Linked DNA regions of Arabidopsis thaliana. The main gene of each other region encodes a partner of the protein of the gene in region 2 in a complex. Each region holds a gene or a part of one and is shown on either strand. Other genes may lie near its edges.

Evidence for each region.
Region 1: CSN5A (region 2) and COP9 share a complex: the UniProt entries of both Arabidopsis thaliana proteins name them as parts of the CSN complex.
Region 3: CSN5A (region 2) and CSN6B share a complex: the UniProt entries of both Arabidopsis thaliana proteins name them as parts of the CSN complex.
Region 4: CSN5A (region 2) and CSN6A share a complex: the UniProt entries of both Arabidopsis thaliana proteins name them as parts of the CSN complex.

Annotation. Positions count from the first base shown.
Region 1 is NC_003075.7:8,132,334-8,136,503, forward strand, and holds COP9 (COP9 signalosome, subunit CSN8), read right to left. Parts: upstream 2,656-4,170; 5' UTR 2,535-2,655; coding exon 2,451-2,534; intron 2,343-2,450; coding exon 2,263-2,342; intron 1,889-2,262; coding exon 1,707-1,888; intron 1,199-1,706; coding exon 1,091-1,198; intron 856-1,090; coding exon 716-855; 3' UTR 547-715; downstream 1-546. Other genes in the region: AT4G14120 (uncharacterized protein), read left to right, coding at 2,852-3,218, 3,357-3,565, 3,666-3,914, 4,004-4,097. UniProt on the Arabidopsis thaliana protein: Component of the COP9 signalosome complex (CSN), a complex involved in various cellular and developmental processes such as photomorphogenesis and auxin and jasmonate responses.
Region 2 is NC_003070.9:8,109,052-8,113,915, forward strand, and holds CSN5A (COP9 signalosome 5A), read right to left. Parts: upstream 3,011-4,864; 5' UTR 2,845-3,010; coding exon 2,455-2,844; intron 2,328-2,454; coding exon 2,046-2,327; intron 1,960-2,045; coding exon 1,812-1,959; intron 1,709-1,811; coding exon 1,623-1,708; intron 1,097-1,622; coding exon 1,019-1,096; coding exon of another isoform or gene 947-1,018; exon of another isoform or gene 921-946; coding exon 831-920; 3' UTR 523-830; downstream 1-522. UniProt on the Arabidopsis thaliana protein: Probable protease subunit of the COP9 signalosome complex (CSN), a complex involved in various cellular and developmental processes such as photomorphogenesis and auxin and jasmonate responses.
Region 3 is NC_003075.7:13,353,184-13,358,173, reverse strand, and holds CSN6B (COP9 signalosome subunit 6B), read right to left. Parts: upstream 3,183-4,990; 5' UTR 2,946-3,182; coding exon 2,648-2,945; intron 2,568-2,647; coding exon 2,479-2,567; intron 2,392-2,478; coding exon 2,298-2,391; intron 2,203-2,297; coding exon 2,141-2,202; intron 2,051-2,140; coding exon 1,972-2,050; intron 1,881-1,971; coding exon 1,788-1,880; intron 1,598-1,787; coding exon 1,497-1,597; intron 1,368-1,496; coding exon 1,312-1,367; intron 930-1,311; coding exon 848-929; 3' UTR 579-847; downstream 1-578. Other genes in the region: WRKY34 (WRKY DNA-binding protein 34), read left to right, coding at 47-578. UniProt on the Arabidopsis thaliana protein: Component of the COP9 signalosome complex (CSN), a complex involved in various cellular and developmental processes such as photomorphogenesis and auxin and jasmonate responses.
Region 4 is NC_003076.8:22,782,877-22,787,435, forward strand, and holds CSN6A (COP9 signalosome subunit 6A), read right to left. Parts: upstream 2,730-4,559; 5' UTR 2,655-2,729; coding exon 2,357-2,654; intron 2,268-2,356; coding exon 2,179-2,267; intron 2,093-2,178; coding exon 1,999-2,092; intron 1,800-1,998; coding exon 1,738-1,799; intron 1,619-1,737; coding exon 1,540-1,618; intron 1,459-1,539; coding exon 1,366-1,458; intron 1,233-1,365; coding exon 1,132-1,232; intron 1,040-1,131; coding exon 984-1,039; intron 823-983; coding exon 741-822; 3' UTR 508-740; downstream 1-507. Other genes in the region: WRKY2 (WRKY DNA-binding protein 2), read left to right, coding at 1-261; PEX5 (peroxin 5), read left to right, coding at 3,779-3,898, 4,184-4,312, 4,409-4,541. UniProt on the Arabidopsis thaliana protein: Component of the COP9 signalosome complex (CSN), a complex involved in various cellular and developmental processes such as photomorphogenesis and auxin and jasmonate responses.

The DNA.
Region 1 (4,170 bases), on a different chromosome or scaffold from region 2:
ATATTTGTTTTTTAAAATTTGTATTAATCTTTTGAAGAGTTTATTTCTAATATTTCTACAGTATCAATTTTTTTTTCTTTTTGTTTTCTAGACTTAATAATTATTTACTTTTTATATTTTTCATTATTTTTAAAAGGATGTTGATTATAACTACAAAAACTGCTTTTCACATAAACCAGTTTTAAAAATTATAAAAGAATAGTAAAATCTCTCAATAAATTTAAAATTGTTCATTTATCGATAATTTAATAATAAATTAAGAATTATTAATCTCTGATAACCCCAGCTTGTCATCTACTAGATCGACAAATGGCTCCTATTCTTCTAGAGTACCTCTCCGGTTTGAAGATTATCATCTTTTATCTCAGAGATTGGCTAGCTTGTTATAGTCGCTAAAATGATCTTCTCTTGTTTCTGCCTAATTTTGTTCTGAAAACGTGTGTTATTTAGGCTGTGTCCTTTTTGGCTCATAATATTGACTTCATCTTTTGTTTGTTTCAGTTCGTCTTTTGTGTAAACTGATCTTTTAAATGTTTGTTTTAGTTCGCCTGTTGGTGTAAACTGATCTTATAAGAGTAAAATTGGTAGGAGTTATTCATCATATACTCAAAGAGTCAAGATATGTTGCAACTTAGAATCAGTCATTGTGAAATCTCTCAAAAACGAATTCTGTTCTTAGAATTTCACTATCTTAATAGGAGATCGGCACTTAGTTTTAATGTTCAAGGTGGAACACATACTCCGTCAAGCGTTGTAGCTTCGATGAATCCACCTTTTGCTCTCTTTTAACAGCTTGTTTCTTCACACTCGCCATTTGAGAAGCTGCATCCACTGTCCATCCATTCTCTACAACATCTGTGTATATATCCAGCAATAAAGAAAACAATTATACTGTTAATTCTGATTCCGTAACATATATGGTTGTCATAAGATTCATGCCTACAATAACACTAAGCTAAGACATTGCCACAAACTCTTCGACATTTTTCAAAAGTATCAATATAAGAATCAATTCAGTAGAATTCAATAGAAATGTGAAATGAGGTACTTAATCTTTTGTAAGCAAAGGAAATTGCAGAAAGAAGCTTACAAGTTGTGGCATCATCCTCCGTCATCCCTAGGAAAAGAGCTAAATCATGGATGGTAATTGTGGAGTAGGCAGACAACAAAAGCTGAAACATCCTTTTTGTGTAAAGATCTACAACAAAACCAATTCAGAAATAGAATTAGAATCTGATGGAAAGTGACCCATAAAGGTCAGGTGTTGAACAATTGATGTGGAAAAAGGTACAACTTCACAAAATTCAGATCAACGTTTAGACATTTGGTTGGAAAAGTCTGTCAACTGCTTACTCGTTCCTCCTGTGTGAGTCTACCTACCTCTCTCTCAGTTAGACCACAGAAGCAACTACTTTCTAATGAAGAAGTGATAAGGCACATACATTGATGAAATTTGATTCAAATTCGAGTTCCAATAGTTCAATGATAAGATGAAAGGTGGTTCTGTGCATAACAGAAATCCTAAACTAGGCCTCACAAGTTAAAACAATAAAACAACTATTCGATCTCAATATGTATATCAAAGCTCAAAACCTAAAGAGGGATATGAAGTAATAAAAGTACACAACTACATAAGCAATCAACAAGCTTAGTTCAAGAAACCAATTCATACTAGCTAAGAAGTCATAAACAGAGAAAAAATTTACCTGAGAAGGCAGCAACCATATCTTTAGCTTCTTGACTCCAATCATAACCCCGAATAGCTTCATATACACCTGCATAGTCGTGTGTCCACAGCTTCTGACCAATCCCCCAAGCTGCAACAACTTCAGGCTTCCTCTCCTTGATAGCTGTAGGTATCCTTTTCCAGAGGAAACGTGCGCTATCACTGCAGTATTTCCAAACAAGCACAGCAAAACATCAAAACCAAATCCATAGTCAAGAAGGCACAACCATAACTCAATAGTTTCAACATACTACACTCACTATCAATACACAAAGGAAAAAAATGTTAAATGGGTCTCAACAACTACTAACTTGTGTCAAGTTTTAATTTTTCAAATCACTGGATAGAAACAAGGTAATGTAAAAAGCAGACTTTAGACCTTAGATTCAACCTAGGACCTAGCAATCGAAGTAGTAAGAACAACTTTGACGCGCTAAAATTCACAAGAGTTCAACGAAACAATCTCTAATTTCATAAAGGAACTAACTTTAGGTTCACAACGCAAACAAATACATCAAAGAAGAAAATAAACTCACCAATCGTCAACGTAAAAGTAACCCAGAAGATGGATTGCGTAAGGCCAATCATCATGATATTCAATTCCTTCGGAAGCAACCTATAAAAAAAATTAAGAAGCGATAAATCGAACGATTAACACCACAAAATCCACTTCACAAAACCCTAATGAACATCAGAAACAACGACAGCGAGAGAAATTACGAACCTGAAGCATGAGAGTATCGCAGATATCGGCGATTTTGTCAAAGGATTTGGCGGCCAAAGCTTCCTTAACAGGCGAAAGATCCATGACTTGTTTCGATTGCACTACTCTCGAAGCTTTTGCGAAGATGACAATTCTACTCCCAAAACCACTCCAGGGAAAAGAAAAATAAATTCTGTGAGATTTACAGGTTTTAATAATCTTTTCAATACGGTTTACTTAAACCGACCAAAAAATTGACCAAACACAAGAGGATAAATGGGCCAAGCCCACTAAGCCTTAGTTTCCCGCCAAACATCATAAAGCCACCCGGTCTGTTCCCGCCAAAATAACAAACAGTCTCTCTCACTCTCACACACACTCTCTCTCTCTCTCTGTAGCTCTCTCTTGGCGCGAGTTCTACCATGGCCGAATCAGATCCTATATTGAGGAAGAAGATGCGATTTTCGTCTTCTTCAGTTCGTTATACTACCTCTCAGAACCTTATGGCAAGCAAATTACGAACTCAGAGCAATCGTTCCTCCGTTCGATTTGCATCCCCATTGTCTCACATTGTCACGGATCTTCGTCACCATCATGCGTCACCGATCAAAGGGAAAATTGTTACTCAAATGCCCCGAACTTGTTCTCGTGTCACCGTGAAGAATCTGTGTCTCAGACGCGTATTCTCTCCTAGTTCCATCTCTAGTGATTGGGACTTTCATGTGAAAGGGGGAAATCTAACCAAGGAGCTAAATGTGGAATCTCCTTGCGATACTCCGAATTCTAATGGTAATTCTTATTTTAAGGTCTTTTTCTTGTACAAGTTTTTCTAAGAAAATTTAGGAGAATGTTGATATAATGAAGGTGGAATTAGGAAATTTCAATATCTGTTTAGAAACTATAATGATTACACAATGGTGAAAACAGTTATGAGAGAAGGAAGCAAATATCTTGTTGATGGATTAGTGGCTACTGGAGGTGATTTAGAAGTAGTGGAATGCTCACAAACGACGCCACCGGATTTAGGAATGTTCACCGGTGAGCTTTCTTTGGTGAAAAATGAAGCAGGTTCTATCAATCAAGAGATCAGTGAGGTCTCTGGGAAGAAAGTTGGTACCAATCTCGGCAGCAAAGTGGTATGTTTTTTACTCATGGTTTTATAGCAAATGATGCGTTTAAACTACAATATTGGCTTTTCGTTGGTTGCTTAATTTTCTTCTTGTGATATGTATACAGATTCGTCATCCGGAAAAGATTTTCAAGAACCCTGGCTCTGTGAGCTATAGAAGAATGCTTCCTTACTTGATGGAAGCTGCAGATGTTACCCGAGATGGTGATGCAAAAGATCCTAAGGATGAAAGAGGTGAATTGATGGCAGCAAATTACCGACTTCCTGAAACCGTATCTGCCAATAGCTTTGTTAAAGCTCATGGAAACAATAGCCCTTTCAAGAAGATGACTTCATCCAGTGGCAACAAAATTTCTGTATGATCTGTTTTTTTTTAAGAAGCTGCAGTCTTGTTCCTTATTTAAGAATCTGTTTTTGACATTTTCCCTGTTGTGACATGAAACAGCTGTGCTGCCGGCGCAAGCTATTTAAAGTGCCAGGTTCTGTAAATTACAGAAGAATGCTTTCATATCTCAAAGAGAACTCAGAGGATAATCATGGTTAGTCTCTTTATATTCATGTTTAGCACACGGTATAATTCAATGTCAGTACTAGTCAGATAATAATACTGTC
Region 2 (4,864 bases):
TTCTAGATCCCCAGAAAAGATAGAATGGCTTAAGCTTCGAACTCTCGGACCTTCTTGTTCTACCCAACTATACATTAGACAAGTATTAGGCCGTAAATAGGCCCATTTAGGGATACGCGAAGGCCCAAAAAGTCTTTGACATCATCATGTGGTTTCTTATTCTTGTTTTCCAGTAATGCTGGTTAAGTGAGGATGTCATTATTGATTAAGCCCCACGCAGCTTCTATCAATTACTACTACCTTACTCTTAATCCTACTCAAGTAACTTCACACGTTATCTCTTCCTACCGACTGTTTTCTCGGCCTGATGTTCGTTTAGTAGTCAGTTTGTTCGAATGCAGAAATCTTAATCCGCTTTTAGTACCCTTAAATCGTGGTCTTGTTGTAATGACAATTTCGGTTTTAGAATAGAATTTGTTCGCTTTTAACAAAAGAAATGCTGTTCAAACATAAATGTGAAAAACAACATCCTGATGAATTTCATGTGATGAAGAACAGAAAGAAAAGAGGGCCTAGAATCATTGTTGCTTCAATCGTTGGAGAACATTTGTATGCTTGTGTCAATTTTTTGCACATGGTTCCGTAACAGGCACATGATTACTGTGACATCACGTGTGTATCTGGAATTTGGTTTTTAATACCACTAAATCAAGATAGTCAAACGCAAAAACATAATGATCGATTTATGTTAATGTCATTTAATAACCCAAAGATCTTTGTCTGAAGCAGATACTACACTAGAGATATAGGGAACAATGGGCATTGCCTCATAAACCGGGTCAAACCGATAGTCAATTTCCGCAGCCAAAAAACAAAAGAATAGACCAACTTCACGATGTAATCATGGGCTCTGGATCTGATGAGTCGTCAGCAGACTTCTTGGACTGACGAGCGGAATTGAACAAGATGTCTTTGATAACCTGCACATTGATGGATGAAAGACTTTTTAAGTCAATTTCATGGATCCATTAACCGCAAGGGGAAATAGGATCAGCATTGTCAGATTGTATTTACTCACCTGTGACATTAGTCCATGGACCTGCTCGACAGTTATCTTTGCACTATCCCGAGTTATCTTCGCGAGTTGAGGCTCATCCTGAAAGTGGTCCACAACACATATACTTAGGTAATGTAATCTCCAAAACAAATGTTTTTATGTAAAGAAGATTAAAACAATATCAAAATGAGTCACACAGCCAGAGATAACAGAACTCTAGGAAGCAGACATAGACTATTGGCAACAACTCGTTGACAAATTGATACATCAAAGTCTCCCTGTTTTACTAGTTCAAACTTTAATAGCTCTGTATATTTTTGACTAAACATACACTCAATTGTGAAATTTCAAACCCAGAAAAGGTAAAACATAGTGTTTTGCAGGTAGAGTTTCTATTAGTCAATATCCAGTCAACATAATGCCTAAGAATAAAAAGTTCAAATTTAATCCAAGTTGCTAGATGTTGATAGTAGCAGTTAATTAGCCAAATGAAAAGTTTCTACACAGGAACAAGCTTGAAAAGTGGCAAGTGTATGAGCTCAAGATCATGGTCCAGTATCTCAGACAGTCAATAAACATTGAGAACATAACAAATAATTTTGCTAAAGCAACCATTTAGACAAACCTCTTTCCTCCTTTGGTGACCGGCTGGCGCAATTCCTCCATACCGGGAGTTAGCGAGCTGACTCTCCGCTTGCTCGAGCTTCTCAGCTTCATCATGTAAACAATTAAATGGTAAGAAAAGAGGATATATCAAACTACGACCTGGATGAAAAGTAAATTAACTTGCTCTTTCATATATACAAGAATTTACCCAAGTCTGATATTTGCCCGGCAACATAGTCTCCATTGCCCAACAGTGGGGAAGAAGAAAGAGTGTTCACCCAGTACTTGTTCCAAAGGAGATCCAGAAGGTGACTATCGAGAGATGACTTGAAATAAGTGATGTCCAATGAGTAGTACTGCCACATACAAAAAAAATGAATCATAAGATCGATGATTAAAACCCTCCCAAGTTTTAAAATCGATAAATAAGAATTATACATACCTGTTTGCAATGTACACCAAAGTCCTCAATCTTGTTAAGAGGGATAGTCTGATACTCAGAAACATGATCATCCGAGATCTTATGTCCCTCTGGATATGTTCTGAATGCCCCAATCTCAACCTTACCAGCCGAAACAGTCCTTGTTGGATCAATAACAACAGCTAAGAATGGCTCCTGATACTGTTGGTTAAGCATCTGTGTCGAAACATCAATACCCGAGAGCCAACATCCATACCCAGGGTGAGAGTGATACCATCCAACAACGTTCTCCAACCTCCCAGCCTATAGTTCAAAGTTACAGTCATAACCAATCAATCAAACACTCGCAAAATCTTGCATAAAGGATCCAAGTAGCAACTAGCTAATTAAACAAGGAGCTACAGCGAGAGATGAATAAGAGATATCTTACCAGCTTGCTGGTCTGAGAGTATTCAACCATATACTCATAGGCATCAGACTGAGCATTAACCCTAGTCTCAGTACCTTCAACAGGCAAAGCAAAAGCATCCATAACGATGATTGTATCACCCTCGGTTTTACCCTGCATAAGACCCATGATCTCGATTGTGCCACCGGAGCGAGCGTGAACCACCATCTTGAGAAGAGCAAGGGCTGAGATGTGAACGCGCTTGAAGTAGTTAGGATCGGAGGCCCATGGCTTCTCCTGCTGGATTTTGGCTTGTGAAGCGTCGTCGTAGTGGAATATACTGTCGGAGGCTGAATCGGTTGGTTCCACTGGGAGAATGTTGTTCTCTAGCTCCCATGTCTTCCTCGCGATGGCTGACGAGGAACCTTCCATTGAAATCGACTTCGAAGAGTAGAATAAATCTAGGGTTTTGCTTAATCGCGAGAATTGATTTGAGGGTTTGAGTCAGAAAGAAAGAAGAAGGCAAACAAATAGAGAGAGATCTTTGGGTTCTTGGGTTAAACCGGTTTGCGAGAACAAAACTCAAAATGGATTTACTTAATATGGGATTTGGGGACTAATGCTAATCCAAAACATTAACCATATAAAATTTTTATGGAAATTTAATATTGTACATTTTTTATTAAATATTTTTCCCTTTTTATTTTTAGTTTGTTTAACTTTTATAGAAATCAATGTTGGCAAATCAAAGGATAAATTCCAGTCATTGTATCAACCAATTGGTATAGAAATCAATGTTGGCAACACATAGATTTGGCATACAATATCTTAAATCACAAAGCGTAAAAGAAGAGTAATGCATCTCATGCATATTTCTTGAGATATCCACACATGCATAATTTCACCAATGTAGTAAGCTTATTTTGATAGCATGTTCAACTTATATATTGTGTGAATTATGCTTGACTTTATGGCATAGACGTTGATCTTTAGCTATAAAGTCAAGCTTTTGTCTTCTCATTCTATCATCGATCAAAGCATCTAAATCACTTTCCTCTCTTTTCTTCTCTTGTTTGTGTCAGAACTCAGAGAGTATAACATAAGGTTAGCTTTCGATCAGTTTTTTATTTTGAGTGTTGCGAATCAAAAGAAAAATTAGTTTTAGCATTAGACCTAAATATTTGTACAAGGACACAGTGTAATATTTGTAAAGCAATTAACATAGAACAAATAATGAAACACAACAATACTATAAAGATGTTTTGAGTTAAGGAGAGAGATCATCAAAGTGCTTGCTTAAATTTCTACCGTGTTGTTGTGTTTCATTACTTGCTTAAATGCTTAATGATAACTGCTTTAAAAATATTAGATTGTCTTCATGTACCAACATTCAGGTCCTACATCCAAAATATTATACAAGACAAAGAATTCACTACAATATAAATACGCTAAAATTTAAGAGCAGCCTCAATTATATGCATATACTAAGATTATGGCCGCCCCTGCTATGCTGATACAAAATAAATGCCAAATTACATCATATATCAAAATATTTTGGCAAAATAAAACATAATTGCCTTTAGTTGGATTTTGAAAAAAAAAATGGAAGATCTTCTGAGTTTGTGAGAAAGAAGAGCAATAAAGAAGAAGTTAATGCATCTGTTTGACTGTTACAATTACTTATAAAAAAAAAAGTGGAAGAAAGTTTAGAGGAGAGGATACATTTTGAGATCATGGGGAAGGAGTGGTTGCTAACAAAGTGGTAATAGAATTAGATTACGTGAAAGTATAAAAGTAAAATTTGAAAGTTTTGTGACATGTGGTAAATGTTGCTGTTTTTGAAAGTGTTGTCCCATTTGAAAGTTTTGTCACATTCGGTAAAATTTGAAAGTTTTGTTACATGCAGTTTTGAAAGTTTTGTCACATTCGGTAAAATTTGAAAGTTTTGTTACATGCAGTTTTTGTTAAAATGACGGTTAATTTAGAGGGGGGTGGGAGGGGGAGGGTAAGTAGTTATATGATTTTGATGATTTTGTAGAAGTGTATTCAATCTAGTATTTTAAGTGATTTGTGTAAAATTTATCAATCATGGATTTTAAAAACTCTATTAAAATCAAGTGTTATTGAACTAACGATTTTAAAATTTACTTTTAAATCAACTGTTATTGAAAACAAATCTCATGATTGTAGATGGAATTTGAAAAGATTGTACAATTAATCACATCAACTTTCTTAAAATTATAGAAATCTTTTCAAATTCTATCTAAAACCATGAGATTTGAATTTGTGTATTTGTAACTAAAGAAGTTTTCTCAAATCTTTCAAGATGAATAAGAATCAACTCCACAAACTGTTTTCAATAACAATTGATTTTAAAGTTAATTTTTAAATTATTAGTTTAATAACATTGGATTTCATTAAAGTTTTTAAAATCTATAATTAAATAACATAA
Region 3 (4,990 bases), on a different chromosome or scaffold from region 2:
CTATCCCTTTGTTGAATTTAATAAAATCAGTTTTCTATGTTTTCAGGAGCTACTATAAATGCACAGCTAATGGATGTACCGTAACGAAGCATGTAGAGAGAGCCTCTGATGACTTCAAGAGCGTACTAACAACTTATATAGGCAAGCACACCCACGTTGTACCAGCAGCACGCAACAGCAGCCACGTCGGTGCAGGCAGTTCAGGGACTCTCCAAGGCAGTTTAGCGACTCAGACCCACAACCACAATGTGCACTATCCAATGCCACACAGTAGATCTGAGGGACTGGCCACAGCCAACTCATCTCTATTTGACTTCCAGTCACACCTGAGGCATCCTACAGGTTTCTCCGTTTACATAGGCCAATCTGAGCTTTCTGATCTTTCAATGCCTGGTCTAACTATTGGGCAAGAGAAGCTTACCAGCCTGCAGGCGCCTGACATTGGGGATCCAACTGGCCTAATGTTGCAGTTAGCAGCACAGCCGAAGGTGGAACCAGTGTCACCACAACAGGGACTTGATTTGTCAGCGAGCTCATTGATATGCAGAGAGATGTTGAGTAGATTACGACAGATATGAAACAAATCTCTTTGTTCACTGATTGCTCAAATTTTTGAATAAATGAAAAATTGAGAGAAGGTAAAAGCTGTTTTGTTTTTACAGTCTTGTCGCAAAATTTAGTTAGGCCTAAACTTAGCTTCTGTCTAGACAAAGCTTAAACAGAAGAAAAGCTTCCTAGCTGTTTGTTTGGTTCCGAAAAGTGAAATGCCTTAAAAGAGTTCTAAATTTTCACTTAGGGACCAGACCACCAAAAGAAAGAAAAGGTTTTTTTACATTGAAACTAATCTTTACATGAACGCAGTCCTACCACCTCTTCGGCTGTGTTTGTCGTATGCAGTGTTGAATTTGTCAACCACCTCGTTCATGTTGCTGCATTTTGGGGGGAAAAAGGAGAGTAAGAGATCAAATATACAAAGGATTCTTTCAGGACATTTCGTTGGAATGAAATTGACATATGGATTGGTCAAGGTGTAGCACAAGATTAGATTTTTTTTTTAAAAAGAAGCTTATATTCCCTTAGCTACTACAGGCTCAGTATCTTAATTATAACAAGGATAATTGAGCAAGGTCCTAGATTTAGTTCTTAATCTAAATAAAACAAACTATCTCAATGTCAGCCTCAACCAAGTACTGGTGATTTCATCTGTCTTGGTATCGTAAAACATTGCATTGTATCAAGCAAAAGATTTGCATGCATGTCCATCATTCTTTTATTCAAATAGTTAAATGGAATAGCGTGTCGAGCACATACCTGGTACAATTCGTGATCATTGCTAGGTAAGACATCAGCAATTTGTCGTTGTACTCCTGCAAAAGAAGAGAACATCATATTTATAAAGATATCATTCACAACAACAAGCTACATTAAGAATTTAAGAGATTCGAAGGCCACTTTATTTAACCAACATTGCTAGAAAAAGGTAAGGTACTACTTACCATCAAGAAATTTTCATTGAACTTCTCTGATTCTGCGGCAGGCAAACTTCTGAGCAGACTAGATACTTGTCTCAGAACTGAGTTCTCACAAGGTTTATCACCTAGATGCAGAATCACATAAGTCATTAGTACCACATTACTCTTGCTCAAAATCATCTTCTAACACCCTTTTAATTCTTTCTTCCCCGTAGGAAAACACATAGAAATATTCTAAGATCAAGGGACAGGTCACAAAAGCTTGATTAACAAATTGAAGAGGGACCGAGAGTGGGGACTTGAGCAAGAATATACCTTTCTGCATAGCGACAATATGCTGGTATAGCACTCTGATTCTGCTATTAAGCATCTTGATGGCACTATGTATTCCAGTAAGATGAGCAGCCACTGCACAAAATCGAGGAATCAACCTAAAATTCCATGCAGATGAAAAAGAAAGAACAGATTATGATAAATATGAAGTGATAATAAAGCTTACACTGAGTCGCAGCTGAGCCTCCATCAGATGGCTTAAGATGTGCAACATGATCAACAGATATTCTTTCAGCTTCAACTGTCTGCACGCGTTTACAATCATTGCAATGTTATTGAAAGTCCACTCTCATATCACATAGATAGATTACAGATCAAGTGGCCTAAACACATACCTCAATTGTGTAGCTGGTATGCACGAAAATCGACTGAGGAATTCCATCAATGACATGAAATTCTTCAAATTTTGAAAACAATCAAAAAGACAGGATTAGCAAGATTATAATCTATAAAACAATAAGACAATCAGTGATGCAAATAACCAATTTTTACCGCTTTCGTAGATAGTCACAGGAAGATCCTTCTGTGCATGATTGATAGCAGGATTTAAAAGAACATACACAGGAGATTCATTAATGTCCATCAGCTGTAGATGAAAACCTCAACAAATCAGTACAATGAGAATCCTAAATTCAATTAAATTTATATTAAACATTAAAGCTACACTACTCACAGCTTTGTGGATATGCATATCAGATTCGGTAGCGTCACTTCCCGTAGAATACCATCCCAATACGTAGAAGTCAGGGAACACCTTCTTATCTAAAAAATAACAAAACTCACAAATTAGCAAGAGTATCAAACAATCGACAACAAAAGTGAGCGAGTGTAAGTAAACTTACAGAGTTCTTGCTTCTTCTCGAGGAAGGATCTGTCGAGAGTATCAAGAGCAGGATCGAATATCAGCTCGAAACTGTTGAAGATCTCAACCGTACGACCTCTCTGGAGACCGATGACGCAGCCATAAACCCTAGGGTTTTGCAGTAACATCGCGTCGGCGTTGTTGGAGCCATTCCCGGTGGCGCAAGAAGCGGCGGGAGGATTAAGCTGAGTTTTAACCCTAGTGAAGTGATCGGATATGTTAAGCATCACCAGAGGATGTAGCTTGAACGTGAGACCGCTCGACGAAGAAGGCGCCATTGTTGTCGCTCTCGATTTTTTCCCGGCGCTTGTCGTTGTCCTCCTTTAGTCCCAAATTCTGAAATCGGATCTTAAACTCGGGTCATGAATCTTTATATAGTCTTGGCCTCTTGGGCTTTCCTTCTAAGTTTAGCCCATATATAACTTTCTTTTGTTAGAAAAATAATGGAAAAGATTATAGCATGTACTTAATTTTTTAGCGTTTTAGTATATATTTATAATTTGAATATAAATCTTTGAAAGAAATATCTATTTTTTTAATATGAAATTTCTTGTATTTTAATGAATTTGAAAAATAATTATGATTGGATTTTGAATCATTTACTTCTTTTTTTTTGGTTTGAGTATATAGAAATAACATAAAGATCATAATGAATTAATTTTATTTAATATTATTGGATATGTTTGTAAGTGTTACTATTAAAATTTTATTATGTGTGTAGTCTGTTTTAATTCTTCTTTTCGTAATATATATATATATATATATATATATTGATATTTTAAACTATTTTTAGTTTATATAACATATCTTTAAATATGTTTCCTATGTTGTAAGTAGTACCTATCAATATTTTACAGAATATTACAGTTTTGTATTCTGAATGCAATCTTTTAAATTAAATTTCATTTAAATTTCATAAAAATAGTTAAGGCTACATTTAAATCTGTATTATTGTTATTTCATTAATTAAAAATATAACTGTATATAGTTTATGAGAAATCCCACATTAAAAGTGGAAATAGAATATGAGTAATATACAGTATATAAACCAAATCTACTCATAAACAATTAGTTTTGAGTTTGGAACCATAAAACTTAATATAGTAAATTGATAAATATGTTATTTTAGATTCTATATATACCATATATAACTCCTAGTCTCCTATGATATATCTGTCATTACATCGTAAATTGCTTATCACTAGCCAGTAGCCACCAGCCGCAGCCTCTGCACCCTTACTCATATCATTAACACATTGCTGGCTTGCAAGGTACAATCTTTAGTTATGTCATTCAAGTCTTCATATTACGGTAGATTTTTCCAACCGTATTGTTCAAACAATTGTATCCGACAATATAATCATGCATGGGATCTCGTCAAACTCTAACGACATGCTTTTTGACTTATGATAACTTTTTTTCTTTTCTTCAGTCAATCTTATCAAGTCATCGTCTACGCTTTTTTCCACCATCGCCTTCACTTTGAAGAAGCGTGAGTGTAGGTAGTGCTATATACTTGTGGGAAATTTGGGAATATGCTCATTTACATTTTTACATGTATAGACATAAATCTTTAGGTTGGATATGTGACATATTATTTATGATTCTTTTTTCAATTTATATAAACTAGTAGACCACGATTTAGTTTTCTCACTGATTAGCAAATGATGGATTTGGTCCGTATTGAAAATAAAAGACATATATATATATATATGTGTGTTCCGTTTTCCTGAAATCAACTGCAAAAAGTTTTCAACAAACGATTAAGAAAAATGAAAGTGACACATTAACACGTTAGATAATGCATTAACAAAATATTCTTTCTTTTCTTTTTTCTTCATTCTTTTTACCTTCGTTTATAGGAGGGAAGAAAATGAACCAGAATTTTGTTGATATTGAAAAACCAATCCGAATAAAGAATCTACGAAATGACACTATACTAAACTCGTTCTATGGTAGAATGTCTTTGCACCCGATAGCAAAAGTTATTGTAGAAAACTATTTTATACCTAAACAATTCACAAACCTCGGAGAAATGATATTGTTGTATATTTAGAAATGTATATCAAAAGAAGAAAATAGTCTTTAGTGGACACTGACAGACAACGACTAGTTTTATATGTAACCATCAGTTCATCTTTCTAGATAAAACCAATGTTAAACGCAACTGCTAATCTCTTCTTCTTTTCTTTTGTCAACCACCAAGGCACCAACTGCTAATCTCTTTAGACTCTAGAGATAGCGAAATATCTTCATTATTTCATAATATACATAACAATTTTATTAATCCTTAATTCAAAATTGCTTGGAAAACACTGATGAA
Region 4 (4,559 bases), on a different chromosome or scaffold from region 2:
CCCTTTAGCTTTCAGCCACATTTGGGTCCTCCTTCTGGTTTCTCCTTCGGTTTAGGACAAACCGGTTTGGTTAATCTTTCAATGCCTGGTTTAGCGTATGGTCAAGGGAAAATGCCGGGTTTGCCTCACCCGTATATGACACAACCGGTTGGGATGAGTGAAGCAATGATGCAGAGAGGGATGGAACCAAAGGTTGAACCGGTTTCAGATTCAGGACAATCGGTATATAACCAGATCATGAGTAGATTACCTCAGATTTGAAATTTACTCTTCTTCTTCTTCTTCTGCATTTGGTCACTCCTTATAATAACTTTTAATTTCTGCTTCTTCTTCTTCTTTCATTTATTGGTTTCAAACTTTGGGGAAGGTAAAGGCTGTTTTATTGTTCATTCCTTGGTTTTGTCTTCTTTTTTACTGGTTCTTTATCTTATATTGAAATCAACAAAGAAGAAAAAAGTGAGTGTTGTGTAGCAATACTGCAATTGCTAACTGGAGACTGATGTGGATGTAACTAGAGAGACTGATAGAATCAAACCTTAAAATCTTTTTACTAACAATAGAAACTTGTTCAAGATCAAACAAGAGCTTTGATAGATAAGCAGATGTTCTTATAGATATAGAAACAATGAAGAGGATAAAGTCTTGCCGTCTGAGTTATAGATTCTCACAGAGGCAATGTTAAAAATGGTTTCAGGAACCAAGAGAAGATCTTTAGAACTAGAATCGCTGGAAAGGATCTTTTACATGAATGCAGTTCTTCCACCTCTTCGAGTGTTTCTGTCATATGCGGTGTTGAATTTGTCGACCATCTCGTTCATGTTGCTGCAGATTGAGCAAACAAAATTATTAACTGATATAACAGAATCCACCAGCCCGGTGAAAACCGTATCTTTCACAGTTCCTAAAGAACCACTAGTTAAAGAGCATTCGCTAGCCTATATACTTGCTTTCAAATACTTTAGAATGTTGCATTAGGTACAAACCTGGAACAATTTGTAATCATCGCTAGGTAAGTTATTAGTAATTTGTCGTTGTACTCCTGCAAAAAGAAAAAATGCCAGCATAAGTTGCGAAATATCTCAGACAATAAGCTACACTGAAAAGAATCAAGTGCAGATCTAACTAACTCACCATCAAGAAATTATCTTGAAATCTCTCTGATTCCATGGCAGGCAATCTTCTTAGCAGGCTAGATACTTGTCTCAGAACTGAGTTGTCACAAGATTTATCACCTACACACATAAATGAGTTGGCAGATAAATTATTACACTTACACAACTTTGACTATCTTCAGCTAGAATCCTGGACTGGTAAACATGAAACCACGGTGATAAGAATCGGAACTTGGGAAAGAACAGAATATACCTTTCTGCATTGCAGCAAGATTTTGGTAAAGCACTCTGATTCTGCTATTAAGCATCTTGATGGCACTATGTATACCAGTAAGATGAGCAGCCACTGCATATGAACGAATAATCAGCCAAAAACAGTAAGACTCAGGAAGTGGAGTATGATATGTATTAGTGACATAAGGCTCACACTGGGTTGCTGCTGAGCCTCCGTCAGATGGTTTAAGATGTGCAACATGATCAACTGATATCCGTTCAGCTTCAACTGTCTACATTGTATAACACCTCAAAATCTTAGTCAATGTACACTTTCATAACATAGATTAAATTGCAGAATGTTTGACAAAAAAAAAAAAAATTATTTGCAGAATCAAACTTAAGCACAGACCTCGATTGTGTAGCTTGTATGAGCGAAAATTAGCTGCGGGATTCCATCAATGACATGCAATTCTTCAAGTAATGAAGATCAATCAATGAAACAAAGAGAAAAGTTAGGATCTTGTAAAACAATCTGACCTAAATCTGGAAGTCAATAAAGATAAAGACTTGGGAAGATATCTAGAAACTCTGAACTACGCATATACCTATACTAACATGCTAACATATCAGAATGTACCCACAGAACCATATGACATTATAAGAAGCATACCACTTTCATAAATAGTCACTGGAAGATCCTTCTGTGTGTGATTGATAGCAGGGTTTAAAAGCACATAAACAGGAGATTCATTGATATCCATCAACTGTCACCAAGAGCAGACACAAAAACCACACTTTTAGAGACCAAATCTCAATTATACAAAAATACTAGAGAGAGCATTGGACTCACAGCTTTATGGATATGCATATCAGATTCCTCAGCATCACTTCCCGTAGAGTACCATCCCAGAATATAGAAATCAGGGAACACCTTCTTATCTAATAAACAATAAAACCAGATAAAAGTTCAAACTTTAATTTACGATTGCATCAATAGTTGAGAATAAAAAGAGTGAGCTTTAGCTTACAGAGCTCTTGCTTCTTCTCGAGGAAAGATCTATCAAGGGTTTGAGTAGAAGGATCATATAAAAGCTCGAAACTGTTGAATATCTCAACAGTACGACCTCTCTGGACACCGATCACACATCCGTAAACCCTAGGGTTTTGCTGGAACATTGCTTCGCCGTTGTTTGAGCCATGGCCGCTTGCGCAGATTGAAGCAGGAGGATTGAGCTGAGTTTTGACCCTAGTGTAGTGATCCGATATGTTGACGATTACCAAAGGATGTAGCTTGAAGGTTAAACCGCTTGATGACGAAGGTGCCATTGTCGATCTCTCTCTCCTTTGATGAATTCTTTGGTTTTTGGGTTTTTAGTTTTTTTATGAAGATTTTTTTTATTTAAATCAATGTGGATTCGGATCCTAGATCGGGTCTTCCGGGTCAACTATATGGATATTAGTTTTTTCTGTATGGGCCGAGCGTAGGACTTATATATGCGGTTGGGCCTCATGACTTGTTTTTCCAATTACATTTTTTCATTTTGGAAACTAATTATATTAATTAACAAACGAAAATAAGATAAACCAAACGATTGAGACTCATAAAATCAGATATCTGAAGTTGACAAAAAATGTACTAGAAATTTGAAAACAGACAACATTCATCAAATTTTTCAATATGAAAGTTCAATAGTTCAGTGGTTAGACTAAAGGTTATAATTTTTTCCACAAAATGTTTGATTTCTAGTGTGTAAATTCTTGCAAGTTAATGAAAGGAAAAAAAAATCTAGAGATGCCTAGCATATTGTAACTATTGTTGATGTAGATGAATTTTTTTTTTTTTTTTAGTTATTGATGAAATTAGTGAAGTCATGTTGGTCGTCCAAATGTGTGATATGAGTACAAGAGTAGAATCTACCTTCGTTTGTAACGCATTGCACAATCAATCAAGAAATATAACTAAACCCAGCAAAAATCAAGCAATATAATTTATTTATCTTTGGTATGATCAAGCAAATATAATTCAACACTAATAGGAAACTACAAAATTCAAAAGTGGCAGCAAATCGGACAAAAAGATAAAACATATCTTGATAAAGAAAGATAAAAAAAAACTATATTCACAACAATTCATTTTTAATTACGGATACTGTAAAAAACGGTTTTTTCACAAAAATAAATAACTAAACAAAAATGTGTTGGTGAGCCTAAAAATGTGTGTGGTGTGGATAATATATAAATATTAATTACCAAAATACTATCAAAAAATTTAATAATTTCTTACGAAGCTGTGACCAAACACAACAAACAAAAAAAACACCGCCACGAGACGAGCCAAACTAAAGATTAGGATTTGGGAGGTTGATGATCAATTCCGGACAACGGAGGAAACCATACTGATAGATTCAACGACGGTGATTGCGGCGGAGGAGTAGAAACCCGTTGGAAACATGGCGATGAGAGACCTTGTTAACGGCGGAGCCGCTTGTGCCGTTCCTGGTTCGTCTTCTTCTTCTAATCCTCTCGGAGCTCTCACCAACGCTTTACTTGGTTCGTCTTCCAAAACCCAGGTTAGCTTCCTGATTCCTTTTTGATCGAAACAGTGTTGACATTTGAAGTCTCCTGATTCCATTCTTCGCCTTTTCCTTGGTTCTCCTGGAACTAAGAAGTCGAATTAGATCTCATTTTTCGTTGGGTTTTGTTATTTGCTTGCCAAGTTTCGATTTTTCTTTCCGTAGTGTTAGGGTTTTAGACGTTCTTCGATTATGTCAAGTGATTTGGCTGACAATTGTTTAAAGGTTTAAAATTTCCTGAGAATTTGAAGAAATGTTGATGATTGGTGATTTGTTGTGCAGGAAAGGCTCAAGGAGATACCTAATGCAAACCGGTCAGGTCCTCGGCCACAATTTTACTCTGAAGACCAACAGATAAGGTCACTTCCTGGTTCTGAGTTAGATCAGCCACTTCTGCAACCGGGTGCTCAGGTTAATGTTGTGGAAAGTTTTGGTTTTACAATGGTAGTATTGACTCTGATTATCTAGCCTCTGTGATGGCTGATGGGTTTGCAATTTTTACATTAGGGGTCAGAGTTCTTCCGTGGTTTTCGCTCTGTTGATCAGAATGGTTTGGGTGCAGCTTGGGATGAGGTACAGCAAGGTGGACCTATGCCTCCAATGGGACCTATGTTTGAGCCAGTTCAGCCTACATTTGAAGGTTTGTGATTTGATCTAT